Linked DNA regions of Drosophila melanogaster. The gene in region 1 interacts genetically with each later gene. Each region holds a gene or a part of one and is shown on either strand. Other genes may lie near its edges.

What was found.
Region 2: of nudC (region 1) and dar1, changing one suppresses a phenotype caused by changing the other (phenotypic suppression), as found in Drosophila melanogaster (one study listed by BioGRID).

The regions. Positions count from the first base shown.
Region 1 is NT_037436.4:16,799,860-16,809,703, forward strand, and holds the start of nudC (nudC), read left to right. Parts: upstream 1-5,134; 5' UTR 5,135-5,493; intron 5,494-7,673; exon of another isoform or gene 7,674-7,872; intron 7,873-8,534; 5' UTR 8,535-8,685; coding exon 8,686-8,760; intron 8,761-8,835; coding exon 8,836-9,119; intron 9,120-9,308; coding exon 9,309-9,498; intron 9,499-9,798; exon of another isoform or gene 9,799-9,844. UniProt on the Drosophila melanogaster protein: Chaperone protein with functions in nuclear localization and cytoplasmic mRNA trafficking.
Region 2 is NT_037436.4:3,621,388-3,630,922, forward strand, and holds the start of dar1 (dendritic arbor reduction 1), read left to right. Parts: upstream 1-4,964; 5' UTR 4,965-5,694; coding exon 5,695-5,757; intron 5,758-9,535. UniProt on the Drosophila melanogaster protein: Transcriptional regulator which promotes dendrite growth by suppressing, either directly or indirectly, the expression of the microtubule-severing protein spas.

The DNA.
Region 1 (9,844 bases):
TTGGATCTGCACTGCGTTCAATTAGCGTGTTCACACCGTTTAAGTTAACAGTTATTTCTGGTTGAATTAGCACAGTTAGTTCAGTTTATATTTGCCTGCAAAAAAAATAGTACAAATAAATTGCAATTTTATTCCACTTATTTTGTAGCGCTGTTGCACTTGAAACTGATTTTTGCACGTTGCTCAGCTATTTGTATCGCCATTCGTTTTACACTATTTTCAAACACACACACACACATACATTTATGCACTGCTAGATATTTTAGGTAACTATTTCTATTTTATCCCGTTGCTGGCACACGCGACACTGACGGCTGCTCACAAGCGAATGAGCGACGTTCGAGCAGCGCAGCAGCGTAGAGCCCCACAGCCCCCAAGATCGCGATCGGACTCTCTCCTCGAAAAGGTGGGGAGCACTCGTCCCCACGATCGCTCGACTATATAGTATCTCCCTCTCTCTCCCGAGTTGCGCACGCAATCAGAGGCCTGATTCAATTCTGAATCAATATCATGTAATGCAATTGTGCTTATCAGAAAAGTATTTACAGGAGAGTTCCAGTAATTAAAAACATGAGAATTGCTATTTTTATATTTTACTTTTTAAAATATATTACTTATATCTTCTTGAGTAATTTTGTTTTTATTGCGTATTTTAGCGGCATTTTTTTCCTTCTCACAAACGAATAGCTGTAGTTGTTCGCATTCTCCAGAGCTTTGTTTACCCTTTAGTTTTCTAAGCACCTTTTCAGTTGAATGGGCTTGCTAAATTGCTCCCCAATAGACAGTTCGACGATCGATGATAGATCGTGCAATTGATTGACAGTGTGGTTGAACAATCATTGCATCCAGAAGTGGAACCTTGAATACCTTGAATGGGCGCATGTACGTAATGCAACAAAATCGCCCCATATTTACACTTTTTTTATCGAACTAGGAACGGCAGCGGTCTATAATCGTTAAACGTTATCAAATGCAATGGCGAAATGATTTATACGGCGTCACAGTGGACATGCATGACAATAACAAAATGCTTTTAAATGTGATTTGCAATAAATTCGTTTGAGCAAAGCAATTTCAAATATGCAAAACAAACAACCGAATGAGTTTTGTTTTTCAGCAAAATACCGATAGCTAGCTGTTGTTAAAGGATTATAATTTTAGATATTTTGTGTTAAATTCCAAGATCTTTGACAGATCAGCTCGACAATTATTAATTGTCGCACAAGGCACAATAATATAATTTACATATCTCTCTATGGGGTCTTTCAACTTTCGGCCAGAGAAATGCATTTGAAAATACGCATTTGTTCGAAACACTTTTTGCTCTTTTTGAGCGACGATATAAATAGATTCTCCATAGGAAGAATTGTTGGTCCCGAACTCATTTTCAAAATTTTCCACTGCTTGTTGCGCTTGATTAAATTTTTAGCAAATACCTTCTTCCCAAAATAGTACATAATTTAGTGGCATTCGTTTAATTAGTCCCACATAAAGTTATCAATCAAAAGCCCAAGTGTCTACAAAAAAAAAAAAAAAAAAAAAAAACAGAAGTGCTAGATTAGTTCCAAGTACATGGATTCGGTTCCCTTGCTCTATAAGAAATCGTTTCCCATCGTATCAAAGACTTTCTATTGTGCTCTAGAGGCGGCGACTGAATCAAGAGTCGCATGAATTATAGGCAAGTTCAAAGTCTCAGAGAGCGATCGGAATTATCTGGCCGGGGCTACAACGTCACATCGCAATCTTCGGCGAACCATTCGGGTGACACATTCTCCCGTCTCGCCACTTGGGGCATTTAAAGAGGAGCCGGCCATATTATGGGGGGTACGGAACCGGTTCCCGGCTGCACCTCCAAGATAAGTGCCGAAAATTTGTCAGGCGAGATAACATTCTCTATTGCGAAGAATCTACCTGCTTACAGAGTACGGTGGGTATATGTGATCATGCGTTGATTGTTGATTCTTAATTATTCAGTATTTAATTTAGATATATGAACAAAAGGGTTCATTGATATAAACTAGTTGATTCATAAGAAAGAATAGGTTAAATTGGAAAAAGTTACTTTATAATGGAATGTGCAGCTTTTTTTTTTTAACAATATCTATATTATGCACAAGGGGTATTAACAATTTCGATTAGCATCTTCATCCGAACTTCTTGTGTTTCTTAGATCTTTTCTTTTTATTTCGCTTTGGTATCAGGCGTTTAGCATGTGCCAGCCGAGTGTCTGCGCCTGAAGGGAAAGAGGAAGTCGAAATTCTCATTCACTATGTTTTATTTTCTTTTTTATAAGTTAATAAACTTTGGCATACCGCTCGCCCGTGTCCACCCCTGCGATTTCATACAGCAGATAAGACTCATTCACGGCACTAGCACGAAAAGCCTAATGGCACAGTGAACTTCACTTGGGGGTTTTGGGGTTTGGGAAGGTTTTTTCCTTTCCGATTCCAATGGGTATGGGACCCAACCCAGCGCAGAGATTACGGCGTTCCATTGGGGGGAGCCATGCCACAAGGCGTTATTCACGATTTGCATGCGTGATAGCGGGGAATGGTCTATAAATATACACATGTTCGATTTCTGGCTGCAGGCGTAATACAATCACGGAGTGATAAGAATTGTGAAACGCAAAAATGTGACGTAGATGGGACAATAGCCCTCAACGTGTCTCAATATCTATATCTATCTATGATCTGATTTATCTGATTTGGGTGCAGTGGAAAAGTTTTGACCTAAGATAACATCAAAACCGAGTCGCAAAAAGTACGATATACGAAAGAAGAAATTTTGGTAGCTTATTATGGCACCGCAGAGAGTCAATAAAACTTGATAATCATGACTTGAATAAAACGCATATCTGCGTTTGTGTGTGCAGAAGCAAAGGTTGTAGTAAAGTCGTATGTTCTTATTATAGAAGAGATAAAATATGCAAAAGAGCCACGTTAAGCCATCAAAGATATATTAGATACTCATGGAAAACCGCAAAAACAAATGCTTAATCACTATGTGTTGATCATGACGCAAGGATAAAAATGGATTTCAAATCTATGAGAGGTTTAAAAACCTTTTCACAACTTCATATCTGTCATCCGGATTGACAACTTATCAATATTCCTATTTAATTTCCTTCAAATTTCCGCCGTTCTAATTGCATAACTTTCCGAGTGCGTCAGACCAATAGATGGCTATTTTCAGAGTTCACAATAATGCTGGCAAAACGGATATATATATGTATCCATAAGAACCAGCCCGCTGACGGTCGGAACATAAATTCCTGCGGAATTATCGATCACGTGTCGAATGGCATTTGCAAATTGTTTTGACATTTCATCCGACTAAGAGAGCAGTTAGTTCGTTTAATTATTTCCTACTAATTGGTGGAGACACCCTGTTCTTAAGTCCGATCCCAAGTCAACGTAAATATTTTCACTTCCATTTCGACAGAAGGAAAGAGGAGAAAAAATAAAGAAACGAAATTGAATATAGCAAACAAGTCTGCAGACTACCAGATGAGAATAGATCGCACAATGGAGGAGCGACCGGATGATACGGAGAGATATGTATATGTAGCCATAGATATAGCCAGCACCATTGCGTTCCATTGGCTCAAAGCCCAAAATGCGACAGCCGCGTGTGGCCCACATCCACAAACATAGGAGAGATATCCGTGCATTACGATAAGTACGCACATCTATAGATATTCAACGCAGATATTATATACTTATGATGTAAACAAGACCAGGCAACAAGTTTCAATAACCCCGAACGCAGAAATAAACAAATAAATTATGCGTCGACAACGTTGCGTGTGGTTAGTACGCTAAGTGATGGGGCATGCCACGGGACCATTATCGTGGGATAATTACAATAGGCGGTCCTAATGGGTGCCAGGATCCCACACAATGACAAGACCATTAGCCCCACCCAAGAACTTTCTTCCGTTGCACAATCTAAAAAAAACGGTGGAAAACCCAACTCCGGTAGCCGCCGACGCTATAAACTTTATTTTCCAGCGATTTACGATATAGCCTAGGCCAAAATTGAAAAGGGGGATCCATTGGGGGGGTGGTTATATTGCCGCTATAAATGCGCATTATCTGACCCGGCTGGGCGCTTATCAGGCAGTCGGGGCCAACTTCATTGGTACCCCCGTTGTTTTATGGCCTCCAACCTGTGCACTTGAGTCAGCTGTGCAAAGTTTTCGCCGCGGATTCCGATTCCGAAAGGGATCACCTCAATTGCTTTAAAAATAGCAACAATTGGTTTTCATTATCGGACGGTCGCGTGTTTAATTAGAGAATCAACTGTGCATCTTGCGGTTGGTTTTTTTATTGCGCCTCGGAATTACGTATTAGTAATTACAATTATGAGAACTTTTTTATCTACACTCACAGCGGGCTCTAGAGCTGATAATTAGCCTTGTTCGAAAGCCCTTATAATAACAAAAAATCAGTCAATTTGCTGATAACTCACTTTAGCTTTGATTAAATGATAAAGATCAATAGATCGAAGGGCCGTTCTTACACTAAAGTAAAATATTTTGGTAACTAATTAAACTTGAACCATTGAAGGTCCAAGTTAAATTTGTATATGATAAGTGCTAATCGATGGTCAATTATCATGGCTTCTATAATCGTGCACTACTGTCAAACATCAAAGGCATTCATGTTTAGATTTCAGATATTAAGAAATTTAATTAAATTAACTTCTTTAAATATGGTTTCAGAAATATTTGGACTTTACTACGTACCAAGCACTTATTCTTATGATTTAGCATTGAAAAGTTTCCAATTGCTCAGTTTATTTTCCCCATAAATTTCTGTCTGTCCGGAGAAATTTATCGCAGCTGCTTGCTATTTATGGCATAGGTGCGGTCCGCTCCCCACCACCGCCCGCTAATTGCGACGGGACTATCGTTTGCAGTCAATAAACAAGCAACATCGCAATTTACATTAGTTTCCAATGACCGTATCTGGTTGGGATGGGATTGCACATTTTGGGTACGTTGCCAGGCCCTCGCAATCCCCCCCAATCTCGCAATGTCTAGATAAACAGAGTTATGTAAATGGAAACCAAGAAAATTGCAGCGGGGAGCGATGGGGTACCGGGTATTGAGTTCTGGTCGCTTCTGTTTGCTATTTGTCATAAGAGAACTCGGGACCGTGCTTATCAGCAATCCACTCAACTACGCATACGTAATCCTCCCTATGAAATATCAATCAGTTCTAACCGCAATTGTTTAAAAGTCAGGAGCACAGAAGCCAAATATACTCACAAGAATTTGCTTAATCAATTTGTGACGGATTTCAGCATATTGTTGGACAGACGCTTTAAATCTAATAATAAATAAACTCATTTAAAAACATAACAAGCAAACATTTATGTCAAAAACATTTTGACGTTTTCGAAAAGCTTTAAAACATGTTCCTTGCAGTTTCTATTGCACATTTAACTGCTGATCAGTGAATTAGTCAATGAATGACAACAGAAAAGGTATTTTTTAGGACACAAATAAAATTTTACTGGTTTTAAAAACTTTTATTTTTTAAGGTTATGGCATCAAGAGTAATCTGATTAATATAATGCTATCATAATTGGTGGAGGCAATAACCATCAATATAACTGATTTAATTTAGAGGCTGCGACGCAATTGAAAAGTTTTCCGTTCGGGAACTCACTGAACCGATAAACCAAACTTGCGGCGCCACCATATTTCAAGCGAGACCGCAAAACATATTTAATTTCAAAGGGGATGCGGAATTTGCTTTGGGGGCATGACTACTTTGCTGACTTTTCAATAAGAATACGAATGTGTTTAGCTTTCATTTTCATCTTCACAAATCTGCGATAAGCCCGAAAAGGGCTCTAAACGCACTCAGCAGCAAAAAGGAGACTTGGTTCACACTTCCGGTAAAATCTCTGACAATCTTTTCTTAAGTCCATTGTCTACGCTTTTTATTTGCTCACTCAGTTTTGCACAATCCTTTTTAAGTGCTGGCACATAAAAACACACACATTAAGCGGTAATAAAACAAAGGCAAGAACGACGTTATCCTTTAAATTCAAGTGCAATTGAATTGTGAAAGCCTTTCTTCGTGCGGGAAAATAGCAAAATGCGGCGTTGATTGCATAACCGTTATGTCAGGAGAGCAAACCGGGCTGAGAGAGCGTACTTGGGGAAGCTGCCACCCCACACTCACCCACGCAGAGAGAAAGTTTAAATGTCAAGGGGCAGTGACGTAGTAAGGCAAACTTCGACGCCCACGTTTATAAATAGAAGGTGGAAAAAAATGTTTTTTTCATGAATATAAAATACAATGTGACAATAAGAACTTTATTCACCTTAAGATGCAGTAAATATACATAAGTGAAATGGATTTTTGTTTAATAATAATCTGTAGCACATTTTTAAGGTGTCAATATATTTTCTCAGTGTAATAAAGGACACTCAAGCACAAATACAGATACACAGTGGCTGTCATTAATTTTGATGCGGCAATTAGGCAGAGCGATTTGCGGCATTCGGTAGCCACAGACTTTCAGCAGTCACTGTTCTCGACGAGAGGGAAATGAAAAAAGATCGGATAAAGGGATGGGCGAGGGCGGTCGGTGGAGCGGCGAGGAAGAAATCACTGCCATGGCCCTTTGAAGCAGAGGAGAACGGAGCTAACCTTACTCTGACCTTGATGCGGAGCGAGCGGGAGAGCAGAGCAGCTGTCTGCATCACAGTACAAGGGGAAGGGGCGGTAAATAGCGAAACAAGATTCACGAATGAAGCACAGCACAGCCCATAAAATAGTCAACGAGCAAGAAGAAGATGAAAGGGGTGGGGGCAACATCAAGAACAGAACTTCGTAGCGGCAAAAAACAAGTACAAGAAGGAGAAGCTTGCGGCAGGGCGGTAAATAACAGTGCAGGCCATTGCCATAGGTCCGATCAGTTATATCGCAGCCCGTTTGTGGTATTACTTATTTTATGATTACTTTATTTTTTATTTACATTACAAATACCTATTTTTAATTGATTTTGAGAAACATCAAAATTAAAACTGCGCACTTACGCAATTTTTATTTTATTATGACTTTTTAAAAGTATAATATTTAATAAATTTTAATGACGCACATCATAAATAACGTATATAATATATGCTTAAGGAAAAGATTACTGGTTAAAAATTAATGAATCACTTAATGTTTCAAACAACACGTAACTAGCACTTAAGAAAACCCTTCCTTTCCAATAAATCTATCATTTTAAGTACCCATAAATTAGCGAATCAAACAGCTGCTAGTTTTATGTCCCCCACTGTAAGTTCTGGTGCGGGAGCTTCTGCTCTCCTTCTTCTTCCTGCTCTCTGCAATGCTTCCTCTTCCCACACTCCCTCTTTTCAACGTGTGTGTCTGTGTTTCTCTGTGCTCCATGTAAAATTTATTGATTTTCTAGAGGAACTCCTACGGGAATCAGGAAAAGCTGTGGTAAGAAAAAGGGGCACCCGGAACCCTTAACTATTCTCTTCTTCATTACAGCGTTTTTCATATTCCCCATCCTATACCCCATGGTGAATATTAGCCGTGCTAGGTAAGCACGTATGTATGTATGTGTGTTAAGTCATTTGCACATCACAATTTTTAAGCGACACAAAAAGGAATTCCACGCATATTTTTCGTAATTACTTTCAACTTTTCTGATAAAACGATTTACTATGCACTGATTTTCGTATTTTGCGCGTCCACACAAAACCAAGAACTTTGAAGTTTTTCACTTTTCCACTTGCTTATAGCACTTCCACTTCGATTTGGCTTTAGAATATTTTCTGGTTTTCCGCGTGTTCAGAATACGTGCGTTTATTTCAAAAGACCGAATGAGAATGGAAGAATAGGACGAAAATCGCAACTATCCCCAAACCGAAACCGAAGAGAGCGCAAAAGTAAGCGGAGAGCGAAAAGTTGCGTGAGAGCAAAAACAACAACAACATATGTTGTTTTTCGAACTCTATCTTCCATGTAATCTCTTAACCTTAAAATTAAATTTAAATTATTAAAGACCAAGTTTTACTAGATAAAGAAATAAATTCTTATATTTTCAGTAAATGGTTGCTTCAATTATTTACACATAGTTTGTCGCAAAGTACCGTTACATGATGCGCTCACTGTCAAAATCTCACTGAGACTCATTTAAATTGGATATGCGCTTTCCAGTATCCAAGTTCATACCACTTTTTTGTTCCCAATCACAGCACGAACAAATTCATACAAACACAATATAAAAAAATTGTTACTTGTTCAAAAAGGTATGGCAAATTAAGTAAATATTAAAAAAATTTTCCAGAAGAGTGAAGGGATATAACTAAAAGTTTCCAATGCAGGAAAAACCATTATTGTTATTGCATACAACTAAATTATATGTGGTACTAAAATATTATTTTTAAAATCCAAGCAGTCAAAAGCTGCAATACACAAAACTCGAGTACCGTTATGACCAATTCTGCTGACTTTCAAATGCTGGACGCCATGTGACGACTCGGTATATTCTAGTATGTGGGTATTTTTTGACGTTCGACGACAGGTCACATTATTTCTACATGTGCCGGGTCGGCAGCTAAACTTCAGATAAAAAAACCAAACGAATCGAAGCGTCCAGAAACAAACGAAATCTAATTCAAAACCAGTACAAATACTCCAAACCATGGCTGCTGAGGAGGGAAAGTTTGACAACATACTGCTGGCCGTGGCCGAGAAGCATCACGGTGGCGTGCCCGAGGTAAAACAATAACAAAGAACGCAACTTCTTTGTTTCAATTTTGTTTAATCATGTTGTTTGTGTTTTATATCTAAGTTCCTTGGCACTTTGGCCAGTTTTCTGCGCCGCAAGACCGACTTCTTCACGGGAGCCAAGCAGACGGAGTGGGAGAAGCTGCTGCTGGATGTCTTCAACAAGGAGTCCAAGCTGGCCGTAACTGAAAACTACGAAAAGATAAAGGCTCGCGAAGCTTCCCAGCGCCTAAAGGCGGAGAAGGAGAGAGCCGAAAGGAAGGCCCGCAAGCAGGAGATTGACGATAATAAAATATGTGATATCACTGACGAAGAGGCAGCGGCCATTATCAAGGAGGAGGAGACCAAGTAAGTGCAAGCGTAATGAGATCATTTACCAAAATACCCAGGTAACTCGGCAAAAGCTGTGAAATTCCTGCAAAATGGCAAATTAGCATTCCTTTTCAAAGAAAGAGTTTGAAACCGAGCTCAATTCTTATCCTAAATATGTTGTATCATTAGCATTCGTATATCTTATAATGTCTAAATCCCATACAGAAAACGCCAGCAGCTGCTGGATAGCGCTGGTGGAGAGCCATCTGCCTCGAACCGAGATGGCATCTCCAAGCCCATCGAGAAAGTGGACGATGAATCCGATAAGAGTGAGCTGGGTAAGCTGATGCCGAATGCAGGCAATGGCTGCACCTTGGAAAACTACACCTGGACCCAAACTCTGGAGGAGGTGGAGGTAAGTCCGGGCACGTCGCTAACGCCGTATTTCTCTTATTTGGCCCAGTGAGGTGTTGTCATAGTTATACAGTAGCTAGCAATTTTAGAAGCTCAATCTTTCAATGCGTAATTGATGTCCTTAATTGTGCTAGTGGTTTTTGAGTACCGCCAGACATAGTTATTATTTATTAATTTACTTAAACACTTAATCGGTGTTTTCTTGCCCGAATACCTTAGTCGCTGGTTGCTAGGCAGCGGTCATAGCTGAAAGCCCAAGTCATTGAACCCACGACAGGTGTGATTCATCAACCCTTCGTGTACAATTATACAATTCGCTTTATTAAACATATCACAGGGATAAATAA
Region 2 (9,535 bases), about 13 Mb from region 1:
CAAACGAATAGTAAGCAAATAGAAAACGCAGGCCCTTATATGGAAATTTGGCCAGAATTTGGGTTCACCAAACAAGTTTCATAATTTGCATGTCACATTCGAAGAAAAGTTCTCGGCATTGATAAACTTTTCCGATTCGCCATAAAAATCGATAGAAAATCCTATGGAAATTTTCGGCTTTCTGTGTCAGTGCCGAATATCGAATATCGCATAATGTCTGAAGTCTGGCCTATGTCTGCAATGTCTGACGTGTGCTGGTGGGTTTCTGGGCTTGGCCAGATTATGGTTACTTTTATGATTTAATTTCACACGAATTTATATTATTTCGGTGCAATTGTTTTGTGCGTCGTCGCATTTATGGTGTATCAGTGGTTTATGGTCTATGGCTTTTGGCTTTTGGCCAAGGCCAAGGAGAGATTTCACAATCCGAAAGCCAAAAACCGAGGGACTTGTTAGCCCAATTAATAATTATTATTGGCCGGAGTTAGAGAAGATGATGAAGTCTTTGGTGTGGGAGGCCTTGGCTTTCTCTGCGCCTGCCCACAGCCGAGATTTAATTAATTGCCGCGTAAAATTAATTTCATTTCAATTGTGCAGTCGCATCATTAGCAGTTCGCACCCCCTCCCGAAAATAGTTGGGACCCCGAAACCTGCTGAGTAAGCAATGATATCGTTTGTAAGTTTTGTAAGTTACCCCCATACCATCGACATCTCCGATCCCCAGCTACTCTCAAGGGCCATATCGTTTCTACTTCGCTTCGAGTGGGCTTGAAAGGTGATTAACGCGATCATAGAAATGATGTCGGAGGAGTACCGCACTGGGGGCTCATCTTTCCAACACCTGAAGTGGTACAGGGAAACGGGAATTTAATGAAGCACTCCACTGGGAGAAAATATCACCCGAAATGCTAATCACTTAATTCAATTTAACATCAGCTTATTGAAATGAAAGTCCTTCAGAACTTTTGTGACTAAAGGCTGTATAAGCAAATATGAAGTAGTATATTAACAGATAAAACACTACGACAATTGAAAGCGAGCGAACCAATAGGTAATATACTCTCCAAATAATGGACGTTATTACTAACAATAACAATAAAAATGCTTCGAGACCTATAATGTCAATTTTATTAGGCAGCAAAGGATGAATCTTTAAGATAGTACGGGGAGGTTATTAGGATATAAACGATAAAAGAGAATAAAATTTGTGACAAGCATTGTTCATTTGTTTATTTTCGATAATATAATAATATAATGAATCTTTTTCTTTACAGGTTTAAAATGATTTCCGATTGATATAGTTTTTTCTCGCTGTGTCGTAGATCGTTAGATGCTTAGATCATGACTCTTTCTTTCTGCGCTTGCGCACGCGCTAAATGTCAAAAAAGTGCCCATGAAGCTCGGGAAGAATCAGCCGCCTGCTGTTCGCCGCCGCAGCTCCGCTTTCCGCCATGCCACGCCCCCCGCCCTCACCTGAAAGTGACACGCCCTCAGGCGGGCCGCCCACTTGGAACATGTCGAATCATTCATTCAACGCAACGAAATGTGGGCTGCGAGGTGTTGAAAGGCGAGAGGCGAAAACCGAAATACAAAATCCGAAATCTAAAAGGCATTTTGTGTGCATTTGTAATTTGTGGAGCTGCACACAGCATTGCGCTGTCATTATTTTCTGTAACATTTAGCAAAATCATTAATAATTGTTGCCGCCGCTGCAGCGACACAGATACGCACTTAAAAATTGTCAGACAACAGTGACTATGCCTTGGTGTTAACTTGATTAGCATTCGTATAAATTCGCATTCGCAGTTGCATCTTGGCCGCATTTGCATAGAATGCACATTTCGGGGACCCAATTATTCGGGGTAACTAAAAGTCTTCTGATCTTGATCGCCTGAGCTGTTAGATGGAATTCGAGGTGGCCCCAATTCCAATTCCCCTGGCTGAGATTTCAATTACCCTCGCATATTATGCAAACAAATAAATTCGAGCGATAAGGTTAAGCCGAAGAAATTATGAAAATATTTCCCAGAAAATGCGCAGACAAAACAAATTGCCGCGTAATCTCTGGGACCCTTGCTCTTGGAAGAAATAACAACTCCAGGTTGACAATGCACGGCCCGAATAAATCGAAATCATTTGGGAACTTGTCCTTCTTTATCGGCAAGTGCCGCCAAGTGGAATCAATCAAGCGGAGAACCATTTCCTTGGAGGCTCTCAGATCGTGTTTTTCATATTATTTCGATTCCGATTTCGAAGCGTGACAATATTTTGGCCACAATTCAAACGAACTGATCTCGAGGGTCTTCGGTGGGCAATTAATCATGTCGAGCTGGCCGATAAGTTCTGCTCGGTCGAGTGCAGTGAATTTCTGGGGGGAGAGTCCTCGAATCTCCAGTCTCATAACAGGTAGTACCCATCGACATCGATCTTTGTGTGAGGTAAGAGCTGAAACAGGGGCTTCCATAAATCCCGCAGATATCGCTGGCGGGAAAATCAATTACTCTACAAGGATGTGCGCCTCCAATTTGAATATTTATGGTTAACTGATCGGATCTCGACATAAAAGCGCCAAAATTGATACATTACAGGCTTTTTTTTTACGGGGATTTCGGTAAAAACGTGAGTAAAGAGGATATAAATATGTCATTTATAAAGAGAAGTAAATAGAGTTTAAAATGATTACAGAAGGATCTAAGGATGGTATATACTCATAGACAAGTCATTATTAAACAAAATTTAGTTTTTTGTGCATAAAAATCGAAAAAATTGTCCAAATTTGGAAAGTTATACCTCGTTGTGCTCAGATCTTTATCCTTTACAAACACAAAACAACTGCCATTAAAATGTGTAAAAAAAATTTTTTTGACCATTTTCGAAAATTTTGATGATGGTACCCCTTACAAAAAAGTCGAAAAATGGGTAAATTTTTTTTTTTTCAAAAACTCTTAAAAAGTGATTTGGGTTTTCTTCTTAGGTTGTCGGGTGTAAAAAACAGTGCTTCTTATAGCGATGTGTCTTATTTTGACTTAGTTATAACATAATAACTGAAAAACACGCATTTTCGTTGTACCCTTCAATTAATAATTTAATTTACAGTGCCATAGATATTCTAAAGCCCCTTAATCATAATATGCATATTTAAATCCCCAGAGCGCGCATATCTTCGTACTCAACCGCTTCATTCTAGGCCAAAAGCGTTATAAATTGGCTGGCATTTGTCAACCGGCGAACGGAGTCAAGTACGGGCTTGGAAATGTGTCTTTGGCATATCTCACGGATGCCAAACGTAAGACAAGCAGCTCGAGAGCAAACAAAAGCGCGAAGACAAACAAATTCGAATGTATCTGAGTATCTCGGCTTGTATCTGCAGACGTCTGCGGTGGCATTAATGGCAAATTTGCACGAAGTCAATAGCGAAAGCCGGGGAATACTACAGTCAATTATCGGTGGCGTCGAATATGGACGAATGTATCTGCGAGTGTAGATACTTTCGTATCTGACCATGTATGTTGATGTTTTTGTTTTTCCACCTGCGTGTAGCGTTGTTGTTGTTTTTTCCACTTACTGCCACCGTGTACGCAAAAGTGTCTCGCTCTCTCTTTCTAACCGCATGCCCCGTCCCGCTCACTCGTTGTATCTTGTATCTCGTGTTTCTCGCTCTTTTTGTCGACCGCCGATTGGCTGACTTTTGAGTCTGCGCCGCTATCCGGAGAGGCCACACCTCTAAAAACCCCCTTAGAAAACCACGTTTGCGTGTTATTTCAGATACTTTTGGCCCCCCTGCACCAACCATTTTACCCCCCCGCGCGCGGAAAACATAAACTTGTGGCTCCCTAATGGCCAAAAATAAGGAAACCAGGGGGATGAGTCGAAATGAAAATGGCTTTTATGTGTGGCGTGCGTTGGGGTAATTTTATGATTCAGGGAATTACACAGGGAAATGACAGTCCTCGTTCTTCTTTTGCTTTCCACCTGGAATATGTAGATACAGATACCTTTTAATTGTCGCTCTATTGATTTCCCCCAAAGAAAGCACATAAGCTGACTTAATTTATGCTTTAATTCTATTTAATTATGTTTTTTTTTTACCATCTAAAACTGCATGAGGTCTATGAAAGATTCGCGTGTTAGCTGGACAGTTTTTATTTTGTTTAGGCTCTATCTAAAATGTGTCAAACTTAATGAACGGTGTAGTAAAGCGGTTTTAATGGGGGAGGTTCTGTTCGGGGATTATGCTTTGTATGTTTTTGATTTATTACTCCTTAAAGGCTACCAATTTTATACCTTAAGTTATAAAACTTATAAAAAAAGAACGAGGTCCTTAAAAAACACTCTGTCGTATAAAAGTTCTTTACGGAAATCAATTAAATCAAATCGAAGCCATATATGTAGATTTTATTTATATAAACATTTAATTGTAAAGTTTTGTAAATTTAAATGATATTCTAATTGATCGGATTATAATAAAATTATTACTCTAAAATTAATAATTTTTATTTATTTGTTACTGAATACTCCATAAGGGACTTATAAACTTTAATTTCTAACCTCCTTGCCCTATTTCGAGATCTTTTCTGAAGCGTGGTTACTTACTTTTTCACCCATTACCACCTCTACCGCAGGTCAAATCTAAAATGGCGAATCCCAGGCGGTTCATTCAATTAAAATCGATCGCAGCTCTTATACTCCAGTGTCTCCAATAAGATCAGCTGGCTGGAACACACCTGAGAGTCGGATATAAGAGCGACAGATCACCTGGGCCGAAAGTGGCGGAGAGCGGACCAGGTGAGCGGAACACCTGGTGAGCAGAGTATCCGACAGATACAGATACGAAAGGTGAGCGAGAGCGGCACAGAGCGGGCAGTGGAGGGTTAAGCGGCGGGGGTTAAGCGGCAGCTAGCTGACTGGCTTTCTGACTTTCGAGGCTCGTCTGCGCGAAACCCGCGCTCGTCCAATCAGTACGAACTCGGTTCCCGCCAGCGCAGTAACAACTTCGCCGACGAGCGCGTGAATCGCCTAAATATCCACTCAAGCAACACAGAAAATAAGTTATAAATTGAAACCCGCAAGTGCCTTACCATTATCTGTAGAATATTGCAACGAATTTACTGCCCATATATACAGCATATCGAGAGGAACAAGAGATACAGATACAAATAAGATACAAGCCGAAGCTCATCATCGAATGCGGAAGTGAGCGAAAGCCGCCGGCTTTTATTAATTTTGTGCAATTAACGCAAAGGATACAAAAAATCAGTGTGCAAACAAAGGGAAACAAAAGAGTGAGAGAAAGTGATCGAGTGCCTTCATTTGCATATCCTTGCAAATTAAATTAATTTAACAACAAATAACAAAAAGCAATTGAATAATAAGAAAACGTGCCGCAATGTCTGTTGCTCGCAGTGCCATGTCAAGCTGAAGTATTCAATAATAATCCCGAAATTCGATTCCGAATACGATTTTGAATTCGCATCCGAAATTGATTAATCACTGTGCCTTGAACTGATCGTGACTCGTGAGTCAGAGCAGCGCCATTTAATTGTCCGCAAACACAAAAGTACGGAGCCCAGTTGCAAATTGTCGGGTTAAATATTGGTAGAATATCGGTAGAATCGGTGGCATCCCCTCCCCCGCCAGGCATTCCACCTGGCCAACAGTCGAGTGAAGGAGCTTCATGCGAAAAACGCCGCTTAAATGCATACGGATATCATAATTGGTGATCAGTTTGCCGCCAACAATAACTACTGGGTGATGCAGGTGAGTTCGGTTACTAGAATATTTAATTAAAGGCTACTTAAGACATTCTGGAAATTCCAGCGAAAAGATCTAGAAAACTTGATCTTTTGTAATAAATAAAATCCAAATAGCAGATAGATATTTTCTATCAAATAAAAGGCAGTGTCGAAATTTCAAATATCAATCACTTAAATAAAATTCCCTAGCTTGATCAACATTCAAATGGAAATATATCCAACTATTATAGAAAGAATATGTGTGTCTTTAAACAAGGATGAACACATCACAAAGCGTTTAAATATCGTAATCATTAGCCAATTAATTTGCAATCACAGGTTCCTTGTCAAACCCAATTCAAATGAAACAAAAAAAACTTTACGTACCAAAGTGCGCTAATTAAGCCGCTTTTATTGCAAATTAATTTTAGCCAAATTTGACAACAATAAGCGAGCACACAACAAATACGAGAGCTTACAAATCACATGAAAAACACCTTAAGCCCAACAACTTCCGCTTATCAAAATGCAAATCTTGAACAGACCAGATTTTTGACGATTTTTGTACGAATTCGAGTACGAGTATAAATAAAACGCACGCGGCAATCACAAATTACAATAAAACCGAAAACAAATTAGCTCAATTATCGATTGAGATGAGGAGTTGGACTGCGTAATTTTTGAGTGTTCTCGAGTGTGTTTCGACAGAGATTAACACCTTGGATTTCCTCAGGTGTTCCTTCGGTTCCTTCGCCGTTTTTTCCCCATTTTTGTTTTTTTTTGTTTGTCAAATGCGACAATCGATTTGTAAATCTTGTTATCACCTGCAGGAACTCTCGGCTCTTAAAGCCGTTCTCAAATACACGGTCGGTTAACTCTTTTGAACTCATCCACACTTTTCACGCGTTCCGCAGGGAAACTGTGGCGATCACAGTCCATCCGATGCGATCCGATCCGCACTCCTCCTTTCGATATCCATGTTTGCAGCCTGTTTTTCTGTTTTCCCGGCTTGTTTGCCTCAATTGTTTGACTCGCGCTTACTTGCGAAGCTCTGGGTAAATATTTGCCCCCAACACTTTGCCAATGTGCCAAGTGTCCCCAACTGACTGACGAGATGGTTTCAACACGGTTCCTACCCGGGAATATATACATATAGCTATAGCCTGATCATCGACTGGGTGGCATTGATCGATGGTATTGGATAGTATGAGAACATAATTACAAACGGCAAGGGTACATACGTATGAGTAATATGTCTTTCCGAGGAACTGTTTATCCTGTTTATTGCTGAATGTCAATAAATACTTTAGAGTGAAACTGATCGCACAGATTGTGGTTATTAAAGTTATCGAGTATAGGTTAAGTTTTTAGGCCATACTCATTTACCATGAATTAATTTTTCAAAGTATACGTACTTTTTTATTACCAATAATCTTGAGCCTTGATTATCTTTCTTATAAATTTTATGATGTGTAGGCTATCTTCCTAAATTTTCCTATCATTCCCTGTCTTATTGCCTTATCTCAACATTTTACAACCGTTGGTCTACCAGCCTTACGCCCATTGATAAGTTCAGTTTCCCGCAGAAAGTCTAGCCTTGCTCAACAAAAGCTCTGTGTTAAGTGCCTCCAGCTGCCCTCCTCAGAACACTTCCTTCCCCCAGAGATAAGGATCGAACTCCGGGAACCTCAGCGAAACAGATATACATACATAGGTACAGACGAAGAAACCCGAGACATTGGCGATTCCGGGTAAAAAGGCATCGTAAAAGAGCTGGGTGTTCGACAAGTGTGTTGTGCTTGTTCCGCCTGTCACCATCAATAGCTGCACTAATTAGGCATGTGTTGTCAAATATTTACACACAGTCGCAAAAGTACAAAGCGCTGTTGGCCCCCTTTGGCCCCCTGGAAGCCCCATCCACTTCCTCCAGATAGTGTAAGCTTTTGGGTGAGGGGGTGGACTTCTTCCGTTTTCCACTGATTTAACAGATATGATGAGATATGGTAAGGTAATTCCCACGACTCACGGCGATTATGACGAAAAACTTTCGTATTTTATGGCTCTAAACGAAATTAGTTTACGATCGCTTACAGGGAATTAGCTGCACTGAGTATAGAAGTATCCAAGTATCCGAGTATCTGCGTATCGAATACATTCAGTGAATAATGGAAGTAATCCAGCACGTAGCCAGGCGGTTATAGCGCCGACTTTTGCGGCTCTGATTAATGACCCTGAACCATTGTGCTTCAATCGTAAATAATTAAATATAGATAAAAATCAGATAACTCTAAGTTTGAGCTTTTGAAAAAAAAAAGGGGGGGGGGGGGTGTTTAAACTAAACGGGCCGAAGAATTATGCAAATTATTTAAGACTAAACGAAACTTGCAGTCGCTCCAGTGATTTGTCAATAAAAGACATTTACAAATATACCAAATGAAACGTATATGAGTTTATAGCCTATCTGAATCAATAGGAAATATTTGCATTTGCGAATCGGAATCAGACAAAGGCGGCCGCCTTCAAAGAATCAAAATCGGTGCTGAAATTTAACAAGAATTACGGCAATTGCCTTGCCGTCTGCTCATCTGAGCCATAAAAAATCGTGGCAAATTAGATAGAAAACAGCCGAATAATGGCCCGATAAGATAATGATATCCCTAGTAGACTTTCCATTTCGAAATGAGTTCAAGATTGGATCGAGCCCCCGAACAAAACACCGATTGCCAATTACACACCGTCCAGACAATGGCAGTTAAATAATAACTGGAGTAAGCCATGAAAACAGTTGGCCAAAATCTCATTAAGGCCCAGTGGGAGATCGCCCATCAATCGATCGATTCCTATGCAAATCTCGCCAGTAATTTCTGTTTCCACCATAACAATGCCAAGTTTTTAGTGTCTAGTCTTTGCCATATTTTGATTTCGCCAATTCATGCAAATGAAAACGAAAACTAGCACACAAATGCGCCAAAAATGGCACAAAAAAGTCGGGAAAAAAATATCATTCATTTGCAGCCAGTTTTGATTGATTTGCCGCCTGGCCAAGTTGGAGGTCAATCGTGCCGCGAGAATCAATCACTCACAAGCCACTGGGTGCACATAGAATTTGCGGTTTTCTGGATAGCCTATTATTGAGAATTAAGGAATTATAGTTGAAAGAAGAACTGTATTATCCTTTAGCAGTATTAAGCCACCATCTTTAATTTCTTCGCATACCCCTTGTGCTGAGCTTTAAAAACCAATGTCTGAAATCATAATATCGACTATCCATCAATTTGGATTTTTTAAAAGCTTTTCAATAGAATCCTCACTATTGATTTAACCCAATCCAAGCTCTTGTTCCCTTCTTTCTTACCCAATGTTTATGGCACGTGAGTGAGCATTTATTGACCAAAGGCAACCCTTTTGACCGGCTAATTTCAACATTTTTTTTCGACTCAGAAAAAGTATCACCTTAAATCTTTGATAGATTGCCGGGCCTAAGGCCCAAAAAAAAAAGGAGAAACATGTTTGACTTCGGCGAATTATTGCGAAAACTAGTTTGCCCAAAAATAAGAAAAAAGGCTTTTATGCTCACAGAGGTGCTAAAACCCCCACAACATTGAAGCGCAATTCGTTTCAGGTTTGATGGGATCAAAAGCTCAGCGGATGACAGCGAATGAAATGAAATAAATTTCATTTAAAGCTCCGATGCCGCATTAAGATCAATTATTTGATTATGAAACAAAATCTGCGTGAAATCTTCGAATAGTTGACCCAAGCCGATGTCAAATGCCGGCGCTGTAAATTTCAATTTCGCATCG